4 linked regions of the Tamandua tetradactyla genome follow. The protein of the gene in region 4 binds, or shares a complex with, the protein of the main gene of each other region. Links are inferred from orthologs where the notes say so. Each region holds a gene or a part of one and is shown on either strand. Other genes may lie near its edges. The genes, in order: MCM2, DTL, LIG1 and PCNA.

What was found.
Region 1: PCNA (region 4) and MCM2 share a complex: the UniProt entries of both Homo sapiens proteins name them as parts of the replisome complex. The link is inferred for Tamandua tetradactyla from reciprocal best matches to the Homo sapiens genes PCNA and MCM2.
Region 2: the proteins of PCNA (region 4) and DTL are in contact, whole or in part, in a crystal structure (PDB 6QC0), measured with the Homo sapiens proteins. The link is inferred for Tamandua tetradactyla from reciprocal best matches to the Homo sapiens genes PCNA and DTL. Residues at the interface, in NP_002583.1 of Homo sapiens: Met40, Ser43, His44, Val45, Ser46, Leu47, Glu124, Gln125, Leu126, Gly127, Ile128, Pro129, Ala208, Tyr211, Asp232, Val233, Pro234, Tyr250, Leu251, Ala252, Pro253, Lys254, Ile255, Glu256; in NP_057532.4 of Homo sapiens: Ser705, Met706, Arg707, Lys708, Ile709, Cys710, Tyr712, Phe713, His714, Arg715.
Region 3: the proteins of PCNA (region 4) and LIG1 are in contact, whole or in part, in a cryo-EM structure (PDB 8B8T), measured with the Homo sapiens proteins. The link is inferred for Tamandua tetradactyla from reciprocal best matches to the Homo sapiens genes PCNA and LIG1. Residues at the interface, in NP_002583.1 of Homo sapiens: Met40, Ser43, His44, Val45, Leu47, Leu126, Gly155, Arg210, Ala252, Pro253, Lys254, Ile255; in NP_000225.1 of Homo sapiens: Ala361, Gly363, Arg364, Ser368, Ser388, Thr389, Gln390, Arg391, Leu392, Met393, Leu394, Val432.

Annotation. Positions count from the first base shown.
Region 1 is NC_135335.1:30,176,527-30,184,514, forward strand, and holds the start of MCM2 (DNA replication licensing factor MCM2), read left to right. Parts: upstream 1-4,983; 5' UTR 4,984-5,105; coding exon 5,106-5,111; intron 5,112-5,943; coding exon 5,944-6,173; intron 6,174-7,988. UniProt on the Homo sapiens protein: Acts as a component of the MCM2-7 complex (MCM complex) which is the replicative helicase essential for 'once per cell cycle' DNA replication initiation and elongation in eukaryotic cells.
Region 2 is NC_135330.1:70,022,664-70,029,844, forward strand, and holds the start of DTL (denticleless protein homolog), read right to left. Parts: upstream 3,014-7,181; 5' UTR 2,723-3,013; coding exon 2,671-2,722; exon of another isoform or gene 2,563-2,670; intron 1-2,562. Other genes in the region: INTS7 (integrator complex subunit 7), read left to right, coding at 3,177-3,270. UniProt on the Homo sapiens protein: Substrate-specific adapter of a DCX (DDB1-CUL4-X-box) E3 ubiquitin-protein ligase complex required for cell cycle control, DNA damage response and translesion DNA synthesis.
Region 3 is NC_135342.1:12,941,056-12,948,069, reverse strand, and holds the start of LIG1 (DNA ligase 1), read right to left. Parts: upstream 3,007-7,014; 5' UTR 2,972-3,006; coding exon 2,926-2,971; intron 1-2,925. Other genes in the region: uncharacterized protein ZSWIM9, read left to right, coding at 4,881-5,155.
Region 4 is NC_135327.1:55,684,084-55,691,584, reverse strand, and holds the start of PCNA (proliferating cell nuclear antigen), read right to left. Parts: upstream 3,020-7,501; 5' UTR 2,826-3,019; coding exon 2,605-2,825; intron 1,748-2,604; coding exon 1,650-1,747; intron 1,466-1,649; coding exon 1,398-1,465; intron 815-1,397; coding exon 620-814; intron 1-619. UniProt on the Homo sapiens protein: Auxiliary protein of DNA polymerase delta and epsilon, is involved in the control of eukaryotic DNA replication by increasing the polymerase's processibility during elongation of the leading strand.

The sequences.
Region 1 (7,988 bases), on a different chromosome or scaffold from region 4:
CATTAATCCTCCTGGTCACTCCAGCCAGTTGTGAATTATAAGCCCCATTTAACAGAATAGGACACTGAAGTGGAGACTGTTGAAATAGTGAAGAATTGCAAAGTAAAAGGGAGGGATCTTATCTAGTGACCTTGGCATCAAGCCGTCATCTAAAGAACACAATTTCATCTGGACTCAGAGGGGAAGATTTCAGGAGAGATGAGTCCATCTCGGCCCCACTGTGTATTGCCTGCACCCTGACCCCCTACAGCCAATCAGTTTCAAGTCCCACCCATGCCACTTTGAAATTAATTCCTCCCCTTCCTTCTCTTTTGGGTTATGATACATTCAGCCTGCAAGTAACAAAAGTCGAATGAGCTGTTGTTTAAGCCACAATGACATTTGTTCTTCACTGAAGTCATCCAGAGGCTGGATGGGTTTGGCAGTTCAGCAGAGTTTTCGAGGATTCAGCTCAAGTGATTGCCCAGCTATGCCATTATGTCAGTTTGAAAGTATTTATGTACCCCAGAAAAGCCATGTTTTAATCCTGATTAAATCTTGTGAAGGCAGCCATTTCTTTTAATCCTAATTCAATACTGTGGGGTAAAACCTTTTGATTGGATTGTCTCTGTGGCGATGTGGCACCTCCAATTGTGGGTGTGACCTTTTGATTCGATGGAGCTGTGACTCCACCCATTCGAGGCGGGTCTTGAATAGTTTACTGGAATCCTTTAAAAGAGGAAACATTTTGGAGAGAGTCAGAAATGACAGAGCAGAGCCAACACAGAGGCTGACAGTTGGAGAACAGAGACATGATGTTTGGAGATGCTTGGAGCCCAGCAGATGTTACCATGAGATGTTAAACAAGCTGGAATCTGGAGAGAGCCAAGGGAAGCCAAGAGATGAAAGCCTGCCCCAGAGAAGCAAAGTGAGGAACCCCCACAGGAACAGAGGCTGAGCGCAGTGGAGCCCAGGAGCAAAGGACCAGCAAATGCTACCCATGTGCCTTTTCAGCTGACAGAGTGTTCCAGACCCACTGGCCTTTCTTGAGTGAAGGTACCCTCTTGTTGGGGCCTTAATTTGGACACATTCATTTCCTTATAACTGTAAACTTGTAACTTATTAAATTCATTTTTAAAAGCTGTGCTGGTTTGAAAGGATGCATGTTCCCTAGAAAAGCCATGTTTTAATCTAAATCCCATTTCATAAAGGCAGAATAATCCCTATTCAACACTGTATGTTTGAAACTGTAATCAGATCATCTCCCTGGAGATGTGATTTAATCAAGAGTGGTTGTTAGGCTGGATTAGGGGATGACATGTCTCCACCCATTTGAGTGGGTCTTGATAAGTTTCTGGAGTCCTATAAAAGAGGAAACATTTTGGAAAATGAAAAAGATTCAGAGCGAGCAGAATGACATAGCCACGAGAAGCAGAGTCCACCAGCCAGCGACCTTTGGAGATGAAGAAGGAAAATGCCTCCCAGAGAGCTTCATGAAACAGGAAGCCAGGAGAAGTTAGCAGATGATGCTGTGTTCGCCATGTGCCCTTCCAGCTGAGAGAGAAGCCTGACTGTGTTTGCCATGTGCCTTCTCACTTGAGAAACCCTGAACTTCATCAGCCTTCTTGAACCAAGGTATCTTTCCTTGGATGCCTTTGATTGCACATTTCTACAGACTTGTTTTAATTGGGACATTTTCTCGGCTTTAGAACTGTAAACTAGCATCTGATTAAATTCCCCCTTTTAAATACCATTCTGTTTCTGATATATTGCATTCCAGCAGCTAGCAAACTAGAACAAAAGCCATCCATTTCTGGTATATTGTATTCCAGCTGCTTGCAAACTAATACACCCATCTTCAGTGTATTGGTGACTCTCTGCTCATTAGTGACAGGAGGGCTGTACAGGTGTCAGCATATATCTTCACATTAGAGCAGCTGAACCCTGAGAAAGAAGCAAGTGGGGTAGGCATAGGAAATTGTCTCTTCGTTTGGCAGGGGTTATCTACAGTGGGTTCATATTGCAGTGCTGGCAATGTGACCTAAGTGGGAGCTGGCTGGAGGTTTCTGTAAATGTTTTCCCCCTCAGTGGAAAAGGCTGTAATAAGGAGGAAGACTTTCTGACGTGAGAGGCTTAGGCCAACCCTAATTTATCCCCCAGAGCTGCCCAAGTAAAATCAGATTCTGGTGACTAGGAAGAAGGGATGGCATTCAGATAAGGGTGGAGGAGATTCCTGGTTTTGCACCACACCCTTCTGCTGCCTTCCATCCTAGAAGAGGTAAAGTTAAGCACATAACCAGCCAGTTAGATGCTACATTGCCCAGCCTCCCTCACTGTTAGAGAGGGTCATTGGCTAAATACTCACAAATGGATCAGGAGTGGAAATAATGTAATCACTTGTTGTTCTTATTAAAGAAAATTGAGTTTAAAGAAAATTGAGTGTCCTGGTCTTCAGGCCTTTCCCTTTTCAGAGCTGGAATGCTGATGTGCCTGCAGCAATGTGAATGAGACATGAGAATGGTGTGACAATGGGTTGCTGAATGAAGTGCAGGAGAGCCACCCACCTACCAGGTCCATCTCCATCTGACTTGATACAGGAGAATGAAATAGACATCTCTTATCTCCAAAACCACTATACTTTTGGTCCTCTCAGAATAGCATAACTAATTCTGTAGGCAGTCAACAGTCTCAGCCATAACCCCATCCCCAACTGTCCCCACTCTGGCTTAGGCAGCATTCTGTCTATATGAATGAAGACAACACTAGCCTCTAGGCTCCTCCACTACCCATTCATATCCCATTGCCAGCCAAAGTGATTCTTCTTAAATGCAATTTTAACCCTGCCACACGCCTGCCAAATTTTTCTGATAACTTTCTGATACCTGTAGAATTAAAGTCCTAGCCCTTTAGCCATGACCTGGCCTCTGTGCAATTGTCATGTCATGAGCTGCACCATGGAGAGGCCTCATGGCAAGGAAACAAGGGAGGCCCCACCCAATGGCCAGTGTGGAGCGGAGGCCCTCACTTCAATACCCTACAGGGAAATGAATCCTGTCATGTGGGTGAGCTAGGAAGTGAATCCTCCCCCAGCTGAGCCTTCAGATGAGACAGCAGCTCCAGGCAGTATCTTGACTGTAGCCTGGTGAGAAACATCAAGTCAGAGGTACACAGTTAAGTCATACCCAGATCCCCAATCCACGGAATCTTGGGATAACAAATGTTAATTGTCTTGAGCTGCTAAATTTGGGGATAATCTGTTACACAGCAATAGATAACTAAAACAATCCCATCCACTATCTCTTCTCTAGTTTTTCCCTCAGCATTCCTTTGGCAATTCCTTCCCAGCATCCTTTGTTGGTGTCCGTCAAGGTTTAAAGCTGTAGATACCCCAGAAAAATATACACTTAAATCTAGTCCAATCCTCCGGGTGTGAAGCCATTGTAAAAGTAGGGTCTTTTGATCAGGCTATTTCAGTTAAGGTGTGGCCCACTTCATTCAGGATGGATCTTAATCCTACTACTGGAGTCCTTTATAAATGGAATTAATGCAGAGAGAGAAAGAGAAAGCCATAGAAGCAACAAGCTGAAATCAACAAAACATAGAAGAGAAGGGAGAGACCAGCAGATGCCACCATATGCCTTGCCGTGGTTCAGCCAAGGATTCCTGGCAACTGGTCTCCAGGAAGAAAGCATTGACTTGATGATGGTTTGATTTGGGCACTTTCTTGGCCTCAAAATCTGTAAACTAATAGATTCTTATCATTTAAGCCAACCCATTTCATGGTATCTGCTTTAAGCAGCCTAGGAAATGAAAGCAGTATCTATTAACGGTTGGGGCTTCTTGAAGAAGGCCCAGTCTTAGGCCTTCTTCTCTCCTCACTGCACTCATTCTCTGGATTATGCAATCAGTCCCAAGCCCTCTATAGCTTTATCCCGTCTCCTGATTCCCAGACCTGAATATCCAGTGGCTTCCACTCAGAACCCATGTGGAACACAGCCAGAAAACAAATTAATCTGCTGCCCGCATCCCCAACCTCACTTCCCCAATTAGCTTGTCTTCCTCCCGTGTTCCCCATCTCAGAGATTGAGCCTCATCCTCCTAGTCTCCTAGGCCAGAATCCTGGTGCGATCTTGGATCTCTCCCTTTGGCTGTCCTTTAGCATCTTTTAAACACCTCTTAGATGTTTCCTGTCCTCACCATGTCTCCTGCCCCTACCCTGGGCCTAGGTCCCATCTAGAGGAGCTTGTACACAGCACAGAGCACCTGGCCAAGGCCGCTGAAATCCAAGCCCTGCCTCTGCTCACCAAGTGAAGTGCCTTAGCCAAGAGTTGCCTGTAACTGGAGGAATAAACTGGAGCAGCTTCCTCCCTCATTTGCCACCCTTCCGTCTGGTCGTGTCCATCTCCACCCTGTATTAGCCTGAGGGGGGTTTCCTAAAGCTCGCTTCTGTCTCACCTTGCTCTTTTGTGGCTCTCCATTGCCCTCAGGATAAGATTCACATTCCCTAGGCAACACTTACTTTTGTAAATTGTGCGCTCTAATCTCAAATCTTGTCTCTTCCTGAGCATCCCAAGTTTTCACGCTGTCTCAGGCTTATGTCTCTGCACATAACATTCTTTTCTACTTGGAACATCCTTCCTGCATCTTTACTCCCTTTGTGGAGGACAGATCTACTAGATGCCGCTTCCTACAATGCCAGGGATCTTTTCTGTGCTTTAAATACTGGGCCTTAGAGCTCTCAGAGAAGTTGTCCTCTACTAAAACAGTCAGTAGGCCATATAAACAAGCTCTGTTGAAGGGATCAGCCACTCAGACCCCAAGTGCCTCTTCTATAAAACAGCCAGAACTTGACCAAGGCTCCAGTTCACCCACATCCAAAACCAGGGGCTAAACCGCTGCGAGTGGGCACACTTGGCTGCGCCCTCTGGAGGCGGGGCCCGCAGGCCGGCGTGGGCGGAGCCGGATTCGCTGGCCCGCCCCTCGCGCGCGCCGGCGGGACGGAAGTCGGCGTCACGACGCTGTGTTCATTACTCCCGACGCTTCCCGGGCTCGGGTGGGTCACGTGAGTCACTTTTCGCGCGAAATTCGGCGGCTGCCTGAGGAGCGGGAAGGAGCACGGCGTCGCGATGGCGGTGAGCTGGCCCGGGCGCGGCGGCGTGGGGTGGGGCGGGCACTCCCCGCGCAGGCTGCACGTTTGTACGGGCTGTGCCGGGCGGAGTGTAGACGTGCGTGGCTTGTCTAGTCCTCAGGCGCGCGCCCTGCTCCCGCCCCGCTTCACGGCCCCGGCGAGTTCCGGTGGTCCGGGCAGAGCTTGGGAACCCGCTTCTCTCTTTTCCTCCCCTTTTCCGCGGTGTGAAAAGCAAGGGGGCCCCGCAACTGTCCTTTTCCTTCGCAGCAATCTAGGCTCCCGAAGCCGAGCCCGGCTGGCTCGTGTCCTATCCTTTACTCCGCCTGCGCATGCTTACTGGGCGCCATCTCCCTGCCTGGTCTTGGGCAGACGCCAGACTAATTGTGTTGTACTGTTTTATTGCCCGTCCCCGTCAGTCTGTGAATTCCAGACCTGGTATATTTGGGTTGCTGTTGTAGCCTGGCACTTTGTGGGGGCCCAAATGGGTCGGATGCATGCTTAAAAAAGGTGAAAACAGACTATACCAGGGCAAATAAACAAATGGCATAGCACGAGTGATTTCTCAGGTAAGCAGTATCTGAGCTGGGTCCTGGATGTTGAGAAGCCAGTGGCTTCTTGAGATCAGGGGAGAGCCCTGCAGACAGAGGGAATAGGAAGTACCAAGGTCCTAAGACTGGCAGGGGGCTTGGTGTGTTTGAGGACAGGGTCATCAGGACTGGTGAAGGGAGAGATTGGTTGGAGATCAGATGGGAGGGGAAGGTCACCCCTTAAGACAGAAGGGAGGCTGTGTCAGCCCTCATCTCACCAGTTTTTAACAGCAGCAGCTTTTCTTGCAGGAGTCATCTGAATCCTTCACAGTGGCATCCAGCCCAGCCCAGCGTCGGAGAAATGCTGATCCTCTTACCTCCAGCCCTGGCCGAAGCTCCCGTCGCACAGATGCCCTGACTTCCAGCCCTGGCCGGGACCTTCCTCCGTTTGAAGACGAGTCCGAGGGGTTACTAGGCACAGAGGGGCCCCTGGAAGAAGAAGAGGATGGAGAGGAGCTTATCGGAGATGGCATGGAGAGGTATCTGAGACCTTGGACTCAACAGATTGCTTTGTTTGCAGAAAGCCTATTGTGTGCCTGGCAACCTTTCTAGCATCAATTAAAATCCTTCTTTGCCCTTGCGCACAGCTCGATCTAGGGTCTAGGGGGAAACTAGACAGATTCATGGAACCCCAAAAGAGGTCCATTTAACTCAGAAAGGCTAGACCCTAAGGCCTCAGTAAGCCCCAACTCCATGAGGTCATGGGGAATGCAGAAGGGCCACAGCAGGAGGTGCCAATTTAGTAAGTGGGCAGCCACGTGTTTCTCTGCTGCTTTTCAAAGAAGCGGTGTGATGTGGGTCCAGTTAATCAAGACTTAGCTTTGTTCTAGCAAACGTTTATTGGGCCTACTCTACCAAGATGTGAGTTATATACCTTCACATTTATTATCTCATATAACCCTCATAAGAATAAACATGTATTAAAGGTCATTGAGACTTAATATTAAGACATGGTGGAGTAAGCGCTGCAAGTGAGAAGGTTAGATCTCTACTCCTAGCCTGTATTCACTGCTTGGATTTGGTAGATACTTTAGTATCTTTAGAATTGTGTGGTTGCTCAGGAGCCTCATGTGAATTCTCCTTTTGTGCCTATCTTTACCCTCACTTTGGGGGTCCCAAACTTAGTGGATGTGAGACTGCTATACGGGCCATGGCACAAAAGGTGAATGCTACTCTTTATGAGCCATTTAAGGGATTTTCATAGGTACCTTGGCCATATAGGGTTTTTCCTTTAAAGACTTCCCGTAGAACCTTACACAAGTATGTGTTCAGCCCTAGCCAGCCTATAGGAAGGAATAAAGACTCTTTGGAGAAATCTCCTGGACCTAGGGACAGGATATACAATATGGGTGGCTTCCCTGTTGTAGGCTATGGAGTTTTCAGGCAGGATGCCCCTCCCCAGCCTTCTCTCTCCTGGCCTTTCTCTTTGTTTCTCTTTCCATGTTTCATGGAGAGTGAGAGACATTGTAGGGAGCCTCAGGATAGAGGCATCTAAGCTGGCTGCCGTTGAGTTAGGTTTTGGGTGTGTGTGTGTTTGAAACAACTTTATTGAGGTGTAATATAAAATTCACCGTTGTAAATGTTGAGTTCCATGCTAAGTTGTGCGACCACCACCACAATCCAGTTAAAACATTTTTCCATCATCCCAATGAAATCCCTGTGCCTTTTTTACAGTTAATCCCCCACCCCTACTCTAGGCAACCACTAATCTACTTTCTGTCCCATAGAGATTTGCTAGTTTGGCACATTTCATATAAATAGAATCATATAATAATGTGGTCTTTTGTGACTGGCTTCTTTCACTTAGTGTAATTTTCAAGGTTCATCATTATTTAGTAGCGTGTGTTGGTACTTCATTTCTTTTTATATATTTATTTTTGGGGGTGGATATACCATATTTAGTTTATCCATTGATCAGTTGATGGCCATTGGGGTTGTTTCTGTTTTCTTTTTTTTTTTTTTAACTGTTAATGAATAATGGTGCTATGGCTGTTTGCCTTTGAGTCTTCCTCTGAACATGTGTTTTCATTCCTCTTGGCTATATACCTCTTGGCTATATCCCTGGATCAGACGGTAACTCCGTTTAAGCTTTTGAGGAACTGCCGGACTGTTTTCCAAAGAAGCTGCACCATTTAGCAATCCCATAAGCAGTATATGAGGGCTCCGGTCTTCAACACCCTTTCCTAACACTTGTTATTTTCTTTTTGATTCTAACCTCCTGGTGGGTATGAAGTGAAGTTTCATACCACTTTTGATTTGCATTTCCCTAGTGACTAATGATGTTGAGTGCCCTT
Region 2 (7,181 bases), on a different chromosome or scaffold from region 4:
ATGTTGGTATTCACAATATGCCAGAAATTATATTCTTTGCATCTGTTTAAACCTATGATAAAAAATTTTAGTTTATCAACTTGAAAATGCACAGAAGAGTAGTCAGATTTCTAGTTTAGAATGATCTATGACAACAATCTGAAGAAAAAACTGGAGAGGGGGAAACTAAGGCCATTTGAGAAACTTGCCTTTCTCAACATTGAGAAACAGTACAGATAAGAAGGTAGGGAAATGGCATGGTAAAGCTAGAACAGATTCAAGATGGGGTGAAGAGTTACTGCCAGGTTTCTGGTTGGGAAGACTGGTTTAAAACTGGGAACACTCTCTAAAATAGGAAATAAAGCAGGTTTGAGGGAGTAATGAGTTCAGTTTTTGGGCGTGTGAGTTTTAGATGGCTATGAGACTGACGAGCTCAGTGCAGATATCCACACAGCTGTTGTAAGAATGAGTCAAAAGCTTAAGGTCTACAAATCTGCAAGGAAAATCATTACTTCCCCACTAAGGACACAACCTTTGGGGGGAAGTCTTCCTAACAACATGGGACATGACTTTAAGAGATGAGTTTGGCCCTGCACCGTGGGACTGACAGTACTTTCCTGACCAAAATGAGGAAAAGAAGTGCAACATAATAAGACTCAGTGGCCCAGGGAGTTCAAATAGAGTACTGAGGCTATTCTGGGAGCTACTTTTATATAAGCTTCAGCTAAATATTGCCTATTCCCATGTTGTGTCAAACCCCAACCAACATCATTCTTGTTAACTCTTAAGAATATCTAGGGATCTAATGGAGATTTTATAAAAGTTTCATGCAGTAAGTTTACTTTCCTGAAATCTATAACCTCCAGAGGGTGCCTAGGCCAGATAACTTCTGAAATCCAGAGGAATCAGCCTCTCCAAAATTATCAACTAATTACATCCCCCTATCCTTCATTGTCAACACCCTTTCTCAAAATGTAAAAATCAGAATGGGCATTGCCGAAAGACCCTTACAGACAGGAGAAGGATTGAAGGAGGAGTTATAACAAAGAAAATACAATTTCACAAATGAGTATGAATGCTAAATCATTATATTAATACTTCTTTCAGCCTCCAGTGTTTTGGAGCAGCTAGAAGGAAAAATCTGAAATAGTGGAATGAATGAAAACCCGTAACAAATTCAGAAATCTGTTCTGTATCTACTTGTTAAAATGTACTTTGAAAACTATTGCTTTTTCTTTCTTTTCTTTGTATATATATTTCACAATAAAAAAACATTAAAAAATTTTTTTAAAAAGAGCATAGGATCTGGAAGGCTATAGGTAGTAGTGGAAGATGCCCCAGTTATTGCTCTGATTATCCAAAGGAGTGGGTAGAAGAGGAAAAGGGGCTAAGATTGGAATACCAAATTGAAGGGATAGGCGATGGTCCCACAAATTGCAGTGCCTAACATAGCAATGCATGAATATTTGTGAAAGAGAAAGAGGAAGTGGAAGAAGTAGACAGATAGATTGGAGATTTAGGAGAAAATTCATCACAAAATACAGGGTAAATATTAATAGCTTGTCTCAACACAGATAGTAAGGAGTGGAGCTGGAATTAGAACACAGGCTGTTTAACTCCAAAGACAAAGCCTTATGTTGCCACTCATGACAAGGGAAACATACAGAACATAATTTAAAAGACTAAGAGGGGAGTAGGTAAGGATGGCATAACGTTTTAAATTAAGAGCGGGCTGTTGAGGAATTACTTCTCAACCTTCTTTTCCTAAACCTACCACTTAAAACATAGAAGGTTCTCTTCTCACATTTTTTGTTTTTCAAATGGTTTCAAGGAAATGATAGACTCCCTGTACACTCGACTTTTAAATGGGTAGTAATTCCCTATTAGAAAGTTTCAGGTAGATGACATCCAAATTGAAACTCAAAACTCTTCTTGTCAAGGAGGAACTGAGGGAATAAACTGGATTTCTACGCACTAACATAGAAATATGTTCAAGTTAAGCCACTAAAGTGAACAACAAAACATTCTGATCTCATCTCTGTAAATAAGCACCCTATGTATTATTTCTGGCATCGAAAAACATCTGGAATAAACAACCTATTAACAGTCTGGGGGTGTGGTCATGGTGATCGTCCAGTTAATAATTTCCAATTTTTATGAACATATATTAATCGGGGTGGGGGTGGGGGAGATTTGGACCCTGCCAGCAGGAAATGTCCTGCGTTCTCTGCGTGACCGAGTTTCCTAACAGTGCATCCGGTCATATTTATCGGTGGCCCTCCAAACACAGCAAATAAGGGCTCAGTAAGCTTCTACACAACTGAATTAATTAAACAAAATGAATACAGGGCGTCCTGGTGGATCTCATATGATTATACAGAGAACGACAAAAACAACAAAAAATGCAGCCGATTCCCGGTTAACGCGTAACACACAGACCTAAGGCCCTAAGGAACGTTGGAGGCCAGTTAATTCATCTTTCCTCTCACCTTCAACCTATATTTGTGATTTTTAAAAAAGTATTCTGAGGGAATGAAAGTACAGCTTACTTAGTAGTCCGCGTCAACACTAATTCATTCTTACCGTGGGAAAAGTCGGTTGGGAAACAGAATTTTAGTCTGCCCTGGTTTGAGGTGTGTTCGGAAGACGGATACCGCCAGCAAACAAGCAGCGGTTAGGACCGTTACTTACCATTTCTCGGGGCGCCAAACTGGGGCTGGCGGAGCACCGAACTGAAGAGCATCTGGACCGAAGGAGAAGGCTCAACCGCGAAGAAACCTGCGGAAATGCCCCCAAGTGCAGCAGGAATCGTGGCTTGCGCCTCTCAGAACACGACTCGTTGGTGCCTCCAACTCCCGCCACAGCAAGCTCCGGCCACCAAACTCCGCGCCAAACTGACGTAACGATCTCTGATTGGCTCCTGCCGCGGCGTCCGGACGCCTTAGAGTCATTTCTCCCGCCCTATCCCCGCCTCCTTTTCTCCCATCCGCGGGAACCTGGAGCGCAATAGCTCCCTGAGCGCCTGCGCGGGGGACTGAACGGGCGTTGGCGAACCGCGTGGTGGCCAGGGCGCATGCGTAACACGGAATGCCAGCGCACGGCGGAAAAATTCGCGAGAAGGCGGTGTGAGAAGATGGCGGTGTTGGGACAGCGTTTGCAACCTTTATGAATAGGTTAGGGAAGAAACTGTTCGGGCCATGGCGTCAAACTCAACTAAGTCTTTCCTGGCAGATGCTGGCTATGGCGAACAGGAACTGGATGCTAACTCTGCCCTTATGGAATTAGACAAAGGTATTCGAAAGAGCGGACTGAGTGGGGAAATAGATGTGGGGGGGGACGTGGCGCCCCCAGGTGGTGTTGGCCTGGGGAGCGTCGGGAAAGGCGCGTGCGCGTACCTTCTGGGCGGGGACTCAACCCCTGCCCTTGTGCTCTGGATGAGGCTAGAGCTTTGGCTGTTGGGGGAAATTGAGGAAACCCTGCAGGATCCGCTGATTGGCCTTGCACCGATGAACAAGTAGCGACCTCTGGTGATGCCCTGTTTGGACCACTTGAGGGCATAGTACCCCGATTTTCCAAATAGTTAAAGTGGCTAGTTTCTAAAAATGCTGAGTGACAACTGATAGTGGGTGCAGTACCTATGACCTGGCAAGATTGTTGTAAATATTAAGTGTATGCAAAAGAGGTCTGTATTAAATGCTAAGAAGATGTCCCTTCCTTCTTATAAATGGATATGGAAGACAAGGTGGATAGTTATCAGTAAAGAAGTCAAGTATTAAAATGAAACCTTTGTTTTATTGTACTACAAGGACTTTTTATTGTGTTGGGGGAAATATTTTGTATGTTGGTAGTACAGTTAATTCTTGATAATCTGTAGCTAATGTATGCGTGTATTGTGAACTGGACTTTAAGTCACAACACTGCTTTGAGCCACTTACCTTTTATGCAACTTGGACATGCCTGTTAACTTTTGGGGGGCTTGGGTTTTATTTGGTTTGGTTCTTTTAATTTAAGCATTTTTAGTATTTTGGTCTAGATTAGAGTTTCTCAGACTTTCTTGACCCTTTATATCATTTTGATTAGCATAAAAATGTCACAGTACCTCAATTGAATAGTCCTTTGGCTGAGTCACAGTATCTTTAGTGCATCCCCATCAACCAAGAAGGTGATGTTGCTCTTTGCTTTCATTTATAAAAGCTTTTGCCCCCCCACTGAAATGTAAAATTATGAAATTATATTGTTCTTAAAACACTACCGTATCTTTCCTTCCTTATTCTAATACTTTCTTATTCCGCAGTGAGAGTTACAGGTCTCGGTTTTATCTAATATCTCTTACATTTCTAAAGATACTTTCTACCACTGGTCCAGTGGGACTTGTCCTATGTTGACAGTAGGACATTGGTTGTAGGACATGAATCAGGATGGGGCTTAGAAGAAACGAGCAGTCTAGAAAAACATAATCCCTAAAAATTTGCGGTTATGCGAAGAAAAGAAATTTAACAAATTGTTTTCCTTCTTAAAGAAGAGATGAAATAGAAACATTTTAGATCTGTAAATGGCCGACTATTGAGTGTTTAACCATAAATCAGGCATCAGTTGTACATACTAAGTGATCATATATTCAATCCTCCTAGCAATGTTCTAGATGAGTCTCAGGATCTGAAAGAGAATTTAAAACAAGATAAAAACAAAACTCTTGTCCTTTCTTACATCACCATGCTGCACCTTTTAAATTATGTTAAGGCCAGTTTCATTTACATATGGTGTTTTAAATATTGAATCCTATTGTCTTTCACTTGTTAATGAAAGTATTTGTTTTGTGAGCCAAAAGTCAATAGGCTCAGAAGGCTATGAGTTTTAATTTTCTTAGTTCTCAAACTTCTGGATCAGTTTCCCAGTATGTACTGCAAGGAAACTATTTATCTCTCTTTCCTTCTCTCTATCCTTCTCTCTTCCTTTCTCTCTCTTCCTTTCTTCCTTCCTACCTTCCTCCCTTTCTTTTTCTTTTTTTTTCTCTCTCTCTCTCTCTCCTCTCCCTCTCTCTCTCCCTCTCTCTCTCTCTCTCTCTCTCCCCCTCTCTCCCCTTCCTTCTAGAAGTTGTATGTTTATAGAAAAATCATGCAGAAAGTTTGAAATTTCCATATATGCCCCCTTAGACACAATCTTCCGTATTATTAACCCTTGGTGTTAGTGTGAAACTTTTGCTACAATTGATGAGACAATATTACAATATTACTATAATTCATTTTATTAACTATAGTCCTTAAAACTATTAGAGTCCACTGTGTTGTACAGTTATATGATTTTTTTAAAATTTTATTCTGATTACACATATGCAACCTAAAATTTCCCATTTAAACCACTTTCGAATATATGATTCAGTGGTGTTGATTACATTCACAATGCTGTGCTACCATGGCCACAATCCATTACCAAAACTTTTCCAGTGCCCCCAAACAGAAACTCTGTACGAATTAAACATTGACTCCCCATTCTGTACACCCCCCCTGGCAACATCTTGTGTTCTAGTTTCCGACTCTGAATTTGCATATTCTAATTTCAAAGAAGTGAGATGAAACAATATTTGTTTTTTAGTGTCTGACTATTTCACTCAACATATCTTCAGGGGTCAACCACGTTGTAGCATGTATCAGAACTTTATTCCTTTTTATGGCTAAATCATTCCATTGTTTCTGTATATCATGTTTATTTATCCATTTGTCTGTTATCCATTTGCATTGCTTCCATGTTTAGGCAGTTTTGAATAATGCCTCTTGCAACACTAGTATGCATATATCTGTTTGAGTCCCTGCTTTCAATTCTTTTGAGTATGCTTGTTTAATTATATGGTAATTGTTTACGTAGCTTTCTGAGTAATCTATAGACTGTTTTCCACAGCAGATGCACCATTTTATATTACCACCTGCAATGAATGAGTGTTCCTGTTTCTCCACATCCTCTCCAACACTTTTCTGTTGTTGTTTTTTTAATAGTAGCCATTCTACTAGTAGGTATGAAATGGTATCTAATTCTGGTTTTGATTTGCATTCCCTAATGGCTAATGTCATTCCCCAATTTTGAGCATCTTTTCATGTGCTTATTGGCCATTTGTATATTTTCTGTCTATTTAAGTCTTTTTGTCCATTTTTTGTGTTTTTTTTTTTTATGGTTGCAAATAATACCATTTCAGAAGTATTTTAATAGGAGTTTCTGCTCCGTTTCTCTCACAAACGCACACACTCATACACACTACTTATTTTATGATGCTTTATGCTAGGGATATGGCAGTTAACAAAACCCCTGCTCTCATAGAGTTTATATTCTAGAAAGAAGAAAAAGAAAATAAAATATATTAAACTTATTGTGCAAAGAATGATAAATATTATAAAGAAAATGAAACAAGGGAAAGGGGCTAGAGAAAACTGGGTATGTGGTTGGGGTTGATTTTATCATTTTGTGTAGGATAATCAGGAAAAGCCTAGCTGATAAAGTGGAGGAATGGCAAACACTGTTGTGGGGCGCAGCAAAAGAGAGACCACACAATTCTAAAAAACTGCAAGCCAATTTGGAGTCTTTATTAGCCAGCCAGCGACTGCCTCAGAAACCCCCAAGAAGGACGATTCAGAGAGCAGCCCTGAGAGATTCTCAAGGGGGGCTTATAAAGGCAAAAAACGCAAGTTTATCCACAGAAGCAGGAAAGGGGCATTATCTTTTTAGAGCCACATCTTGGTTTGCAGCTGTAAGCAAGCAAGCTCATCTACTGAAGCAGAAAAATGCCGTTAGCTCTTGCAAAATACATCCCATTCTTTTAGTTTCTTAACAGTGATTATTGTTCAATTTTTAACTCTTGGGAACTTTCCGCCCTGGATCTTGTGACTCCGGATACCTTCTTCTTGCTAGGGCCTGATTTATTGCTCCTGACCCCCCACATTCCCCACTGGTTTTATGAGAATCAAATAATTGTTTCTGTATTTTGATTATAAATCTGTTGATAATGGGTTCGAAGGACTGATAATTTAATAGCTTGTATTCTTTTTTGCACATATGAGTTCAGACAGTTTATTATATGGGGTCCAACCATTAAGCCTAATGGTATGAGAATTAGGGGTCCTGTTATGGTGATTAAGAGCGTGGTCAGCCATGGGGACCAGGAAAACAAATTTTCATACCAGTTGGTTTCAGCTTTCCGGCGTTCCTCCCACTCT
Region 3 (7,014 bases), on a different chromosome or scaffold from region 4:
TTCCTGACCTGTCTGCTCTCCTAGCTATGTCCTGTCAAATATTTTACACCTTACCCCTAAATATGTTACCTCCCCCCCCATCCTCAGAGACTTAAAAGAGATTCATTTCCCTCAAAAAAGAATTGAGGAAGCTGAGCTGGGATAAACAAAGTGCTTTGTGCAGGACCACACAACCAGTTCATGAATGATACCAGAAATGGAGGATCCCAGTTCCAGGAATCACCTGGGATTTGTGTTTAAAATATCTGAATGGACAGAAGTGAAGGCAGTTCAATAGTGGGTTTATAAGTAATATTGACAAAGTGAAGGTGAACATGACTGAAAAGGGTTGTATAGACTCATGTATTCCACTGATTAACTACTACAAATTAAGTTCTTGCATGAACTACTTCAAAGGTATGAACCTTGTACAAAGAATCAATAATAGAGGGGTATAAGGGTAAAACTATTATTGCATGTTATGGTCTGTATTTACCAGGAAGACATCAACAAACCACAGCAATACTAGGGGTAAATAACTGGAGGGTGGGAGTGGAGGGACGGGGAAGGACAGAAGGGGAGGTTCGGATTTTCTATTTGGTGAGGGTTGGTTTGTAGGTTATTTTTCGCTTTGGAGCAATTAAAATTATCTAAAATTGAAGAGTGTTGATTATACAACTAAGTGAAGATAATGTGAGACAGGAATTGTTGACTTTGGACATTATACATGCTGCCCAATGGATTGAGTGACTGAAGGCTACACTGAATGAGAAGTAGAATGGTGAACTGTGGTGTGTGTGTGTGTGTATATATACACATATTCCATATATATGATGGAATATTGTGTGGCTACAGAAAGGAACAAAGTTGTGAGGCATGCAACAAGGTGAATGAACCTTGGGGACATTAAGTGGTGCAAAATAAGCCAGAAACAAAAGCACAAATATTGTATGGTCTCTTTTAGAAAATATTCATAAGAAAATCGGGGCCTAGATTGTAAGCTCTTATAGCAGTCACATTTAGTCCAGAGATGTAAATATTATTCCTAGATTTTGACATGCTGTGTTACATATGTATAACTTGGTATCTCCCTGGAACTTTGGCTACCTGAGTGACACCTAAGACTCAGAATTGGAATTCTGCCTTCTGAAAGTCAGCACTGCCATCTATGTACAACAACTGTTAAAAAAACCAAAAAAAAAAGATCAGGCTTCAAGTAGAGATAAGAATGAAGACAATCGGGTTGGGACTAAGGTAAATCAGAATACAAGGGAAAAATGACATTGTCTGTATTTTAAAACTTCACCTAGTACATGAGACCAAAGGAAGAGAAGATTATTTTGTCCAAAACCTAAATCTGATGTAGCACATAATCTAACTCAACCTGTCTGCATAGCTCATTTAAACAACTCAAACACATGGAGCCAAGAATGGAAAGGAGGACTTGTAAATCTGTATAGCTTAAAGCAATACCCAGATGCATCCCAGAGTATGTTGCACAGATAATTAAAAAGTATTGAAAAAATCCCTTGAGGGATGGAGAAAAAATATGTAACTATTAAGCTTTACCACTGGGTAAACTCCTGATACTGTTTCAAACATTAGGGACTCCCAAGTCAATAGGCCAAGCCCTTGATCTTAAGGCTTGCTCTTGTGAAGCCTACTTCTGTAGCAGAGAAGCCAAGCCTACTTATTGTTATGCCTGAGAGTTACTTCCAGGAAACCTCTTTTGTTGCTCAGATATGGGCTTTCTCTCTCTAAGCTCAACTCTGCAAATAAAATCATTACTCTCCCCAATACTTGAGACATGACATCCAGGGGGTGAACGTTCCCCTTGCAATGTGGGTCATGACTTCCAGGGATGAGTCTGGCAGTGGCACTGGCACCATGGGATCAATAATACTTTCCTCACCAAAAAGAGGGAAAAGAAATGTAACAAAATAAGGTATCAATGGCTAAAAGATTTCAAATAGAGTCGAGAGCCTATTCTAGAAGCTACTTATGCAAGCTTCAGGTAGATATTGCTAATTACCAGTTTTCCAAACCCCAAAGAAAACCACTCCATTCCTGTTAAGCCTTAAGAATACCTAGGGCTCTATCTGAGATTCTACAAAAGTTTCACACACAAGTTTCACACACTAAGACTACTTCCCAGAAACTTACAACCTCCAGATGGGTTCCTAGGCCGGATAAATCCTGAAACCCAGAGGGGTCAGCCTCTTCAAAAACATCAACTCGATACATCTCCCTATTATCGACAGCCCTTTACAACATGAAATAGTTAGAATGGGCATAACTCAAATACCCCTAAAGATTGGGAGAAGGATCAGAGGAGGAGGAGGAGTTAGAACAAAGACAGGATTTAACAAACGAGTATGACTGCTGAATCATTATACTGATACTTCTTTTAGTTTCCTATGTCCTGCAGTAGTGAGGAGAAACCTATAATTGTAGAACTGAAACCCATACCAAAGTCTGAAATTTGTACTATAACTACTTGTAACAATGTACTTTTAAATTTATTGCTTTTTTGTATATATTTCACAATAAAGAATGTTAAAAAAAATCCCCACCCACCCCCTGACCTCTTGCATCAGAATCTCTGGAATGCTGGGGGAAATCTACAGTCGTAGATTCTAAGGGGTTCTAAGACAAGAAGAAATTAAGATGTTTTTCGACTCTACTTTCCCTCACGCCCCTTGGTAGGATGCCTAATAAGTTATTCAAAAGGGGAAAAATGGGGATAAGGCCAAGAGGTAATGCCTTAACCCCTTTTCTGCTGTATCCCTCTTCAAGGCCCCCTGACTTTCAGAGACAGCATCCCTCTCCAAACGCTGTTCTCCAGGCCAAGTGCCCTTCCCCTGACCCTTCAAGCTTCCCCTGCTCCTAAGAAGGTCAAGATTCAGCGGTCTTCCCTCCCCAAGCTCCTCTATTCCTTCCCCTCACTTTGGGCAACAAGACAAAGCTGGTCTCGCCTCCTCCGGCCCTTCATAGCAGTAGCTGGCCCCGTCCCGTCTCAGATTGCCAGTTCGAGTACTGACTGGCCCCGCCCCCGTCCTCTCTGGCCCCGCCCCCTCAGGCCTCTCTCGTATGCCTCCGGGCTGACAGGCTTTGGCCCTGGTCTACCTTCTCTCAGGCCCCTCTCCGTCAGACAGCCTCCCCCCGTCCCTTCCGGCGCCCCGCAGCCCGCTGCCCGCGCTCACCTCTCCCCACCACGCCCTCAGCATCCCCCACATCCACTCCCTTGCAGCGACCCGGGCCCGGCAAAGCCAAGCGCACCAAGCGTTCGTCACGCGCTGCCTCCAACCCCCCCAGCCCTTCGCAGGAGGCCCCACCTGCCTCGCGCCGGCCCCGCACACTGCTGTCCCGGGTACCACGCTTAGAACCACTCGCCGCGCCACCGCAGCCCAAACTCGCGCCACGGAATTCGCGCGCAGAATTTGGCGGCCGGGGGCGGAGCCGAGCCGAGGGGCGAGGCCTGGGTGACTTCCGCAAGCCAGAAGTTGCCGTCGCTTCCCGGGGGACGCTGGGAGTTGGAGTTCCCTGACACGGAGGCAGTCGGAAGAAGAGGATAAGCGGGGCGATCCTTCACGCAGAGCACGCTGGGAAACATCCTGCGCCTGGGTGAGCAGGTGTGGCTCCTGGTCGCTGGAGTGACCCGCGGCGAGTAAAGGAAATTCGGAGAACGCCGCGGCGCGAGGCACGACGGGAAGAGAGGCGGCAGGCTGCGCAGGGCATCCCGGGAGCGAGGGCCGCGCCGTGCTCCGACGCGAGGCATTGTGGGAGGTGGACGCTGATCCGGAGCGTAGGTGAGTGGGGAGGGGCGGGAAGGGTGCACAGCTGGAGGAGGGGAAAGGCCCAGCTGGGTGGGACGGCCGGGCTGGGAGGGGCCGCGGTGGATGGGGCCGGACTGGCGAAGTGGGAGCGAGCTGGAAGGGATTACACGAGGTAGGGAGGAAGATGCACCTGGATCCGGGGAGCATCTGGGATGAAGAAGCCCGTGTGAGGATAAGAGGCCGAGTCTAGGACGAAAATACACATCTGGGGAGGATGGTGGCCGTAGCTGACAGAACGGAGACGCAGCTGAATGCATCTGACAGGGGCGCATCTAGGGAGGAGAGGGGTCACAGATGAATTATTTGTGACACTTTTGATAATTGGCCACAAATGGATAGGGCAAGCACCTGTGGGCGAAGAGGCCGTAACTGGATGTGGGGAGCACACTTTGAATGGAAGCATCTCTGGGAAACAGGAGTCACAGTCGGATGGCACGTGGGGTCACATTTGGGGGACCAGCACCAGCTGCAATATTGGAGGTTCATCTCTGGAGCAAGCCCCACGTGCTTGAGGAGCACGTCTGGGGATAAGGGGTCCGTGACTGGATGTGGGGGGGGGGGGGGGCAGTACATATAGTTGTGGAGCATCTTTAGAAGGGGATACAGCTGAATTCAGGGCAGGTGGAGTTACAACCAAGTGAAGGTACATGGGGGAGTCCCACATGAATGGGGATTATGTGGGGGGTAACCGCCAAGTGTTAGAGGCTCGTTGTGGGGGGGGGGGGGACTCAGCTGTAGTTGGGAACACGCTTGTCGTATTTTGAGTGGCCGCAAATGGACCCAGGACTCACTTCTAGGGAAAGGGGACCAGTCTTGGAATTAGGGATCAGGGTGACAGGCCCTAGCTGTTCCAGGGGTAGCCGCCAGGAAGAGTGTGTCACAGATGGCCAAAAGATGAGGGGGGCGCTGTTCATATCTGGAGATAAAAATGGGTGTATCCATCCCTGACCCCACCAGAGTATAGGTACCAGCGCTTAAGGGGCAGGTGAAGAGTGGTGGAAGTGGGACATCCCAGGAAGGAACGGAACTGATACCCAGTTGTCACTCCCTCTCAGGCGCCCCAGAATGGAGCGGCTGGAGCCCCCACCCGGCTCCGTGGCGGGGCAGGAGGAGCAGGAACTGCGGGAGCGGGCTTTTTTCTCTTGGGCGGAGTTCAGTCGCTTCTTCGACGCATGGTGCCTGCAGCGGCGGGCCCTCTTCTTCGTCAAGAGCTCCATGCACCTGGCGCGCTGCCGCTGGGCCGGTGCACCCCCGCTCTACACGCTCATCGACGTGCTCAAGTACAGCTATGTGCGGCTCGTGTGCAAGGACCTGCGCGCTCCCAGCCGGCCCGCAGTAGGGTGCGTGAGCCTGAGCCGCTGCCCGGCAGGGAGGGAGCAGGGGGGTCTGGAGGAGGGGTGGAGAGACAGTCGCACCGAGACAGACAAATATACCTTCCAGAGAGACGGTGAGAGACCAAGAGAGAAACATGCTGAGAAAGGGAAACAGAGGAAGGGACAGAGCAGGCATTACAGGCTTTGCCAGAGATCTATAGAGAGGCAGAGAGTGAGATGGAGACCCACCCCATAGACAAAAAATTCCAGAGACCTGGAGACTTGGAGTCAGGGAAAAATTGGGAGAGACCCTGGTTTTGCCCACTTAGAACAGAACAGAGACTTGGAGATTGAGGTGCAGGGAAAGCCACAGGGACAAAAATAAAGATCTGTCCCTTGAGGCCAGGCCTCATGCTGGGTGCTGGGAACAGGGAGAGCCAGGGACAGGGGGTAAGAAAGTGCCCTACAGGCAAAGTCCCAGCCCTCTGGAACTTTCAGGGAGACTGACAGTAAATGGACAGTCAGTCTCTCAAGTAATTCTGTACAACTGTGTAATGCTATAAAGATAAGGAGCAGGTGAGAAATCCACAAGAGAGCTAGGGAACCACCCAAGTGACCAAGGCTATTTTTAATGACCCGTTTTAAAATGGAAACATTCTCCATACAATGTAGGGTTTCCAGCTTCCCTTAGAAACACAGGAATTGGCTGAGCCCCTATTCCTGTGTAGCAGATAGCCACCCCCTGTATACAGGCATTGGTGCTCAGGATTACCCCAACCCCACCTCTCTGCTGCCTCATTCTTTGCAGTGTTGCATCCTTGTTTTGCCTCCCTGGCCCCTGTAGATGCATGGGTATGAGACCCTTGGCTGGGGAGCCATAGATGAGAGAGGAATGCTTAAACACACAGGCTCTGCCTTCAGGCTGCCTGAGATGGGACCCCGACTTCTGGATGGGTATCTCTCAGCCTCAGTTTTCTCATCTCAGAAATGGGAACATGGCAGTAGCTATCTCATGGGACTGTTGTGAGGTTATGGTGAGATCACACACAGGAAAGCACTTACCCAACTTCCTGGAATGCAGGGCAGCTGGTTAAATGATAACTGTGAGGGGGGTCGAGGGCGTGGACTCTGGAGCCAGCAGCCAGGATCAGATAGGGCGTGCACAGTGTCGTATGGTACATAGGACAGCTCTTATACTGATTAACCAATGCCCTCAAGCAAGTGGCTTTGCCTCTCTGGGCCTCAGTTTTCTTTTTGGAAAGTGGGGAAGTAATAGTATCTATCTCAGGATTTAGTGAGGATTTAGTAATACATATCAAATGTATGAAGGGCATCTGGCACAGAGTGAGTACTCTCTAACAGCTAGCTCCTCTCATCCATAGCTGTTTAAATGTTTACTATAGGATTACTCTTCTTTCTTATTTACTCCCTGCTTAACAGATCCAGAGATGTGAAAGCAGAACAGCGTCAAACATATAATCATGCAGAAATCCAGAGCTCACAAGCAGGTCAGGCCTAATCTAGAATTTCTCTGTTAACAGAACCCAATTCAATATAACAACATATATTAAAGACCTACCATGTGCATGCCCTTCACTGGGCACTTGGCACCCAGAGCTGATCTCTGCCCTTGAACCTAATAGAGAAGACAAAGACAAATGAAACAAAATTATAAGCTCACCAGTCCCCAGTAGGGAGAGAGAGGTTGAGGAGGGCAGAAAGGAGAATAAAAGAGGCATGGTAACCTGGGTGCTTACCAGGTAGTTCTGAAAAGCTTCCCAGAGGAGGTGACTAGTGAGGACATTGAGGGTTTTATTTATGTATGTATTTGGTTTAACAAACTCATGATGCTTACTGTGTGCAGGCGCTGTCCCAAGCATTCTACA
Region 4 (7,501 bases):
TTTGGAAGATGTATAGGTTTGATCCACAAACCTACTGTTCTGTGGTTTGTAAAAGCAGCACTGAATTTGCCTTCCCCTCTCACAGACTGAATTATAAATTAGATGGCTGTTTTCAACAGTATTTTTATTTTCACAAATTAGTTGTATGTGGAAAGACATGTTTGTTTCTTTAGAATTTTCTTTAATTTCAGCAATTAACCTAATGTTAAACAATAGTATAATTTCCTTCAAATATTTATTTACCTAAAAAAAACTGTACTCAAGGGTGGGCCACGGTGGCTCAGCAGGTAAGAGTGCTCGCCTGCCATGCCCGAGGACCCTGGTTCAATTCCCAGTGCCTGCCCATGTTAAAAAAAAAAAACAAAAACAAAAAACAAACAAACAAAAAACAAACAGACAAAAAAAAAACTGTACTCAAGGGTACATGAGTGGTTCAATGGTAGCCTTCCATATGGGAGACCTGGATTCAATTCCCGGACCATGCAAACCCCCCACCCCCCACCAAAGTCCCACCTAGTGTGGTGCAACGGTGGCTCAGTGGCAAAATTCTTGCCTGCCATGCCAGAGACCCAGGTTTGATTCCCAGTGTCTGCCCGTGCAAAACAAAAACTGTACTCACAGCTTCCTCCTCTTTATCAACATTGCTTGTTTGTGACAACTTAATGTTTCCATTTCCAAGTTCTCCACTTGCAGAAAATTTTACTCCATCTTTTGCACAGGAAATTACAACAGCATCTCCAATATGACTGAGATCTCGGCATATACGTGCAAATTCACCAGAAGGCATCTTTACTACACAGCTATACTCTTGTTCCTTTAAAACAAAAAACAAAAGTAAGTTAACTGCTTGTAATTAAAGATTTAGCAACCCTACTTACTTAAAAGGCCACCAACTTAAATATTCTGATTCTAAGACATCGTGTTATCTCACAATATACTCTATTCAAAAAAAAATACACATGTAATAGTTATAGGAATATTTGTACTAAAAAAAACAAACCTCAAATTAGAGCTTAAACTTTTAATAGTAAATGCACTATCTAATCATCCCTCAGAAGGGATATATCAAGAGGATATCAGGGAATGGCACAGGAATTCTAAAAAACACAACAGGCATTAAAGCATCTAAGACATCTAAGCATTTCTTCTCTCTTCTGATGTTGATAAAGTTAACTCTAATGCATTTCTGCTCAACAAAGTTTTAAAATCTACTTGTAATGACAAACGTTAGTCCAAACACTGAACCCAGCTTGAAACATGTGTCAGTATTTCTAGTAAGTTCTGCCAGGAAGTAGGCTTTAAAATATGAAGTTCAAGACTAGTGGTTAAATTAACATCTTGTATAACTAGCATGACTGTGTATAGCCTGCCCAACAACAGAAACTTGTGATACTCACTGGAATTCCAAGTTGTTCAACATCTAAATCCATTAACTTCATTTCATAGTCTGAAACTTTTTCTTGATCTACCAAAAAAAAAGAAAAAAACTGAAAACAAAACAAATATTGATGAAAAGAAGGATGCAAGCTTATAATTACAATGTAAATTTTACAGGCATCAAAAAAAATCATCTTAAATTTCTCACAGCTTTGAGAAATACTGAAACTGCGTTTTTTTCTAGTATAGCTCAGTAAAAGGGTATGACTTACTCGGTGCTTCAAATACCAGAGCCAAGGTGTCTGCATTATCTTCAGCCCTTAATGTAATGATGTCTTCATTGCCAGCACATTTTAGTATTTTGGACATACTACAACACAGAAGAGGGAGGGTTTTAAATCACTCCTATGTCCTAGAAGTCCTATAGATTTCTAGTGCAATTAAAACAAGGATTTACCATTTTTCACCTGCTCAGTTGTCTGACAATTTGGTGAGAAGAGCACACCGTTAGGGGATGTATAAATGGGTCCAGCCACTTTGGAGTGCAATTTAGCAGTATATACATTTGGGACTAAACTAAAACTGCGCACACCGTACGACCAGCAATTTCACATCTGGTTATGTGCCAAAGAGCAGTACTTTCCGTATTGCAAATGCCTTTAGTGGGTGCTGCAAACCTATCGGAACACATTGCAGGTAGTTATCAGTCAATTATTTCTTAGAAACCTTTGTGCTACCTATCCGTGTGTATATGTAAGTGACCCAAACTGCAACAGAAAACGTCTTCCTGTAGTTATAATGGTCAATAATGTTGAAAGCCAAAGCTGCAGAACATTTCGCACATGCACAAGGATCTTTAGATATTCAGAGAATTCTTAGCAGTAAGAGACCAGATACAACCGACACATTCTCACTAGTTAATAAAGCGGTCTTAATCCAAGGTTCCCCATGTACGACCACCGGCGAGAGATGACCAGACAGCTCAGGCAAGCTTTTTCCCGCCACCGCCCGCTTTGTGACTTTGTGGCGCGGAAAGAGCCGGTTCGCGCGGCTGCCAGCGCGGGCTTTCCCGAACTGCGCGCGCCGCCCGGCCCCGCCCCTCGGCGCCGTAGGCCAATGGGAAGGCGCAGGCGGCCCACGTCAGCCAATGAGGGCCAGGCTCGGTGGTTCTCCCGCCAAGATCAGGGAATGGCGGTGCGCGAAGACTCCCCGCTGCCTCCGTCTCACCTGGTGAGGTTCACGCCCATGGCCAGATTGCGGTCGCAGCGGTACGTGTCAAAGCCCTCAGAGCGCAGGGTGAGCTGCACCAAGGAGACATGGGACGAGTCCATGCTCTGCAGGTTCACGCCGCTCGAGCTGATGTCCCAGCAGGCCTCGTTGATGAGGTCCTTGAGCGCCTCCAGTACCTTTTTCAGGATGGAGCCCTGGACCAGGCGCGCCTCGAACATGGTGGCGGAATCACAACAATGCGGTAACAAACGAGTGAGAAGAAGGAAGTTTTAGTCGGCTTAGGCTTGACAGGGATCCGAGCGGACGAGCAAACGCAGCACCAGGAGCTCGGGACCGAGGAAAAGCACGTCCAGACCGCTGCGTCCGCAACCGTTTAATGGGGCCGCCTCGGCGAGAGCGCGCAGTCCGCCCCTGCGCCGGGGGTCGATACGTCACCACGCTGCCCCCGCCCGCGACCAATCGTATCCCTGCTCCGCGCGAAGCCCGCCTCCATCAAGGTTTCATTGGTGGGGGCGGACGGCAGGGCGGGGCACTCTGCTCCTCCAGAGGAGTGGGGAGTGGTGTTGGCGCAGGTTTCCTAGTCGTTTTACGATGGTCTCGTTGTGGAGGCGAGTCTGGTCGGGGGTGGGTGGGCCATTCCCGGAGTCGGCGAGTGAGCCCCAGCCCTACGGTTTTAGTCCGGTTGTTGTGCGTTCTCTGCCTCCCGCTGTCGGGCCAGCCTGTCTCCAGCCACGAAAGTGAAAGTGAACGCAAATCAAGCCTTTCGGAGGAAATGTTGCCTTGTAGCCTGAAAAGTACAGTTCCTTTAAATATACATTTTATTTTTATTATAGAAGCGATGCACTCCTAAAAGCGTCAAACATTAAAGAGGTGAACAAAGTTATGTTAAAAAAAGTTCGCTCAACTCCCTTCCCCTTCCCTCGCACACACAGCAAGCTCCACCTCAGTCGTTTACTGTATACAGCTTTCTGGGTTCCCCCCACCCCCACCTTCTACAGAAATACACATTAAAAAAAGAAATTGGTTCACAAGGTAAACAGTTTTGCAAAATACTTAAATTCCTTTTATGTCACGGACGTCTTTTCCATATCACTTCCTGTTAAGACGTCAAAATATTCCATAGAGGGTAACTACTTTTATCAATTTCCTGCTGTAGTAAACATCTTTGGGCCTTTCAATGATTTTTTATGAAATCAACTCCTTGAAGTAGAACTGCTGGATTGAAGAGCATATGCATGTTAATTTTTGGTAAATGTTACTAAATTGGCCTCTAAAATAACTGCAGTTTACATTCCAGTTGAGATTTATGAGCATACTCATTTCCTCTTATTTTCCCAGATGTAGATATTAGCAATCTTGTGCTCATTTGTGTGAAAATTTCAATTTGTATATTTAAAAATTGTTTCAAGTTGGGGCATCTTTCACTTTTCTTTTGACCATTGCTTCTTTATATTCTTTACTCTTTTTTTTCTCAAACCGTTTGCTCCTCTCCTACTGATAAAAGGAGCTCTTTACATATGTTAATAATTTACTTATTATATATTATATATATTTATATATATGTCCTCCCTCCCATAGATGCTTGTTGTTTCTCTTTTGTGTTGGTGTTTCTCTATAGTTGCTTTTGATATCTTTTCTTGGTCTGTAGCACTCCAGTTTTTTCTACTGTGTATTTAGGCATGGATTTAGTTTTATTTATCCTGTTCAGGGCATTTTGTGCTTACTGAATCAGAAAATTCATGTCTTTCATCGTCTAGAATATTCTCAACCGTATAATTTACAAATATTGACACTGTTTACTCCATTTTCTCCCTCTCACATTTCTATTAGACATCTATTTCACTGAATGTAAGATATCACCAACTGAAAGATGCACCATTATTTCATATAGCACAAGAAAAATAAACATACTGTCAAACTTCTCACTTAGAATTTCCATTTTGTAATTATTAACAGAGCTTTTAAATTTTAAAGTTTTTTTTATCACATGCCACTCATACCTACATAAAAAAGAAAAATATAAGCAGAATAAATTGGTTAAGGCATTCCTAACATTTCTCCACATTCAGAGATTCCCCCGTAGTTGTTGAAACTGTTGTTTTTCTATATAATGCCCTTCTGTGTGTTGCAATGTTGTTGATTATGCAGCACTTCTCCAGTGCTACTCCTTGTCTCTGGAATTTCTTCCAAGCCCCTGCATCATTTATAGCAAATGCATGCTTGCTACTGTTTCAGTGCTTTCTGATTACATAACAGCATTTTGGTTTAATGTCAAATTAGTGTGTAATCATTTTGAAGACATCTTAAATAGTAATTAAACTTGACCCATGTGATACCCACAGTACTCAGTAATCAGTTGAAATGAGAACAGATGAGGGGCTATGATCTGTAGAATAGGCCTCTCTGAGTAGGCTTATTTATCCTCCAATATCTAACCATTTGGAGAGTGGAAGGAAGAACAACAGGCTGAGAGAATAGCTTGTTTAAAGAAAACATGCTGGGCGTTGAAACAGGAAGGTGTTTCTTTTGGTATTCAGAGATTGATGTGTCTGGAAACACTGATCAAATGGGAGAATACTACGAGGTTGGGTTGCAAAAAGAGGTGGAGTGAGATCATCTAGGACTTTGTAGGCCTTATATAAGCAAGAGAAAGTTACCAAATGCAGGTGTTTCACATATTCAATTTGCATTTTAAGAGAATCACTTTAAGATCTAGTGAAGATGCTATTCCAATCAATGGGAGAAAGAATGAATTAAGTAAAAGATGATCAAGCAATTGGTTAAAACTTCAGAAAAGTATAAAGCCATAGATGTCCTAATAACTAATCACCAAAATAAATTCCAGATAGATTAAACAGTTAAAATTCAAATAAATGGAAAATAAAATATTGATAAATATTTATGAGATCTTGCTGTGGGCTTCTAAACCTAAAAGCAAAGGGAAAAATACATAACAGATAAGAAATGACTACATAAATTTTAAAACTTCAGTATGCCTAAAAGCACTGTGTTGGTTATTAAACTTTGGATTTGCAGTGACAGAGAACCTATCTCAAATTGACTTAGGAAAAAAAGAGAAATTTGTTAATTGAAACAAAAAGAAAGAGGTATCCGGCTTTCAGTAGTCCAGACCCAGTCTTTACATGAAAAAACTAAAAAGGTTCCCCACACTAATAAGCAAAGGCATGCAAATTAAGGGAAGATGGAATTTTAACCTAACAATATTAATTTTAACCTACCACATTAATAAAAATTGTGTTAACACACTATTAGAAAAAATTCAAGGAAATGGGCACCATCTTGTATTGCAGGTAGGAGTATAAAATGGTATACTTTTCTGGTGGGAATTTGACGATGTGTATCAAAACGCTTAGAATTGTATTTATTCTTTGACACAGAATTCAATTTCTAGGATTTTTTTCTGAGGATATAATCAGAAATGTTTAAGATCAAGCTTGTTTAAGAATGTTTTTTACAGAATTATTAATAATTCAACTGAAATTGGAAGTAACCTTAACATCTAATAATATGGTCTTAGGTAAATTATGGTAAATCCATTAGATCAAATACCATATGGCCTTTAAATGATCATTCTCAAAGAGTATTTAAGGATAAAGAGAATAGTTGAGTTATGAAACAGTATAAATAACATAGTTCCAATTTTCTAAATTACTATATCTGGGTATACCTGCACAGAAAACAGAATGGAAAGAATGTTCATGTTAGCAGTAATTATCTTCAACTGATGCTACCACAAATGGTTTTAATTTCTTTCATTATATGTTTCTGCATTTTCCAAACATTCTTCACTCAAGATGTGTTGTTGATCAGAAAATGTTAATGAATATTGGGAGAGAAAAAAGCTGTAAACTATTTTGCATAAATTTTCAGCAAATTTTTTCACAAGCTGATAATGTATCAAAATGATTCTCAAGGCTAATTGCATATTAGACTCACTTGGGAAGGTTTTAAAAACGAAAAATGGCCTTTTTCCTTTAGGCCCCATTTCCAGCTCTTATTTAGTGGGTCTGGGTAGCCCTTTCCATCAGTATCTTTTTTTTTAGAAGTTCCCAGGTAATTCTAATGAATAATCACGATTGAAAAGCACTGTTAATATGATGTGTGATCAACAGATGAATATTTGTGCTTGAAGCCACCTGCTTCTCCATATAGAATATTGCTTTGAAAAAGACTCAGTTTGTTAGAGAGGAGACTAACATACAGTTTAAGTGAAATGTCTAGGAATTGATAGAGCTGTAAGTTTTCAGGAATACAGAATTTGCATTTTTTAATGCTTAATACGGTTGACAGCTCTGCATAGCCTCTTAATTCCATTTCTTGTGTTACCACATTAAAATGAATAAGGAGCTTTATCTGTCTGAGAACACTTGTCAAACTAAGAACTAGAAAGCCTGTATGAAGGGCAAGATATCGAATAGAGAAAGCTTTTTTAGTTTATTGACAATCCTTTGGTAAAAGAGAGGAAACCACTCTCAGGGAAATGATGAATTTTGGGGTTGCTTGTACGATTTCAACATTGAGGGGAAGTATTTTTATTCATTATAAAATGATAATTATAGCAGTAGCTGCCGACTTACACTGAGCTCTGGGTAAGTCTGCACATTCCAGAGAAATAGGAATCCCATGCTATTTATGTCTACTAATCAACATAGCATCTAAAAATAAAGGAACTAACCAAGGAGTGCTGTGAAAATAAATCACTATAAACCAGATATGCCGCAGGCATGGAAGAAATGACCCCACAATGACAAGGAGCAGAAAAGAGAATTGGGGTGCTCCTTGTCATGAAGGAGGTGCTCCTCCATAGAAGAGGAGGTGAAAGGTAATGTGAAGGATTCCTTTTTTTTTTTATAGTGAGAAATTGTCTATATAT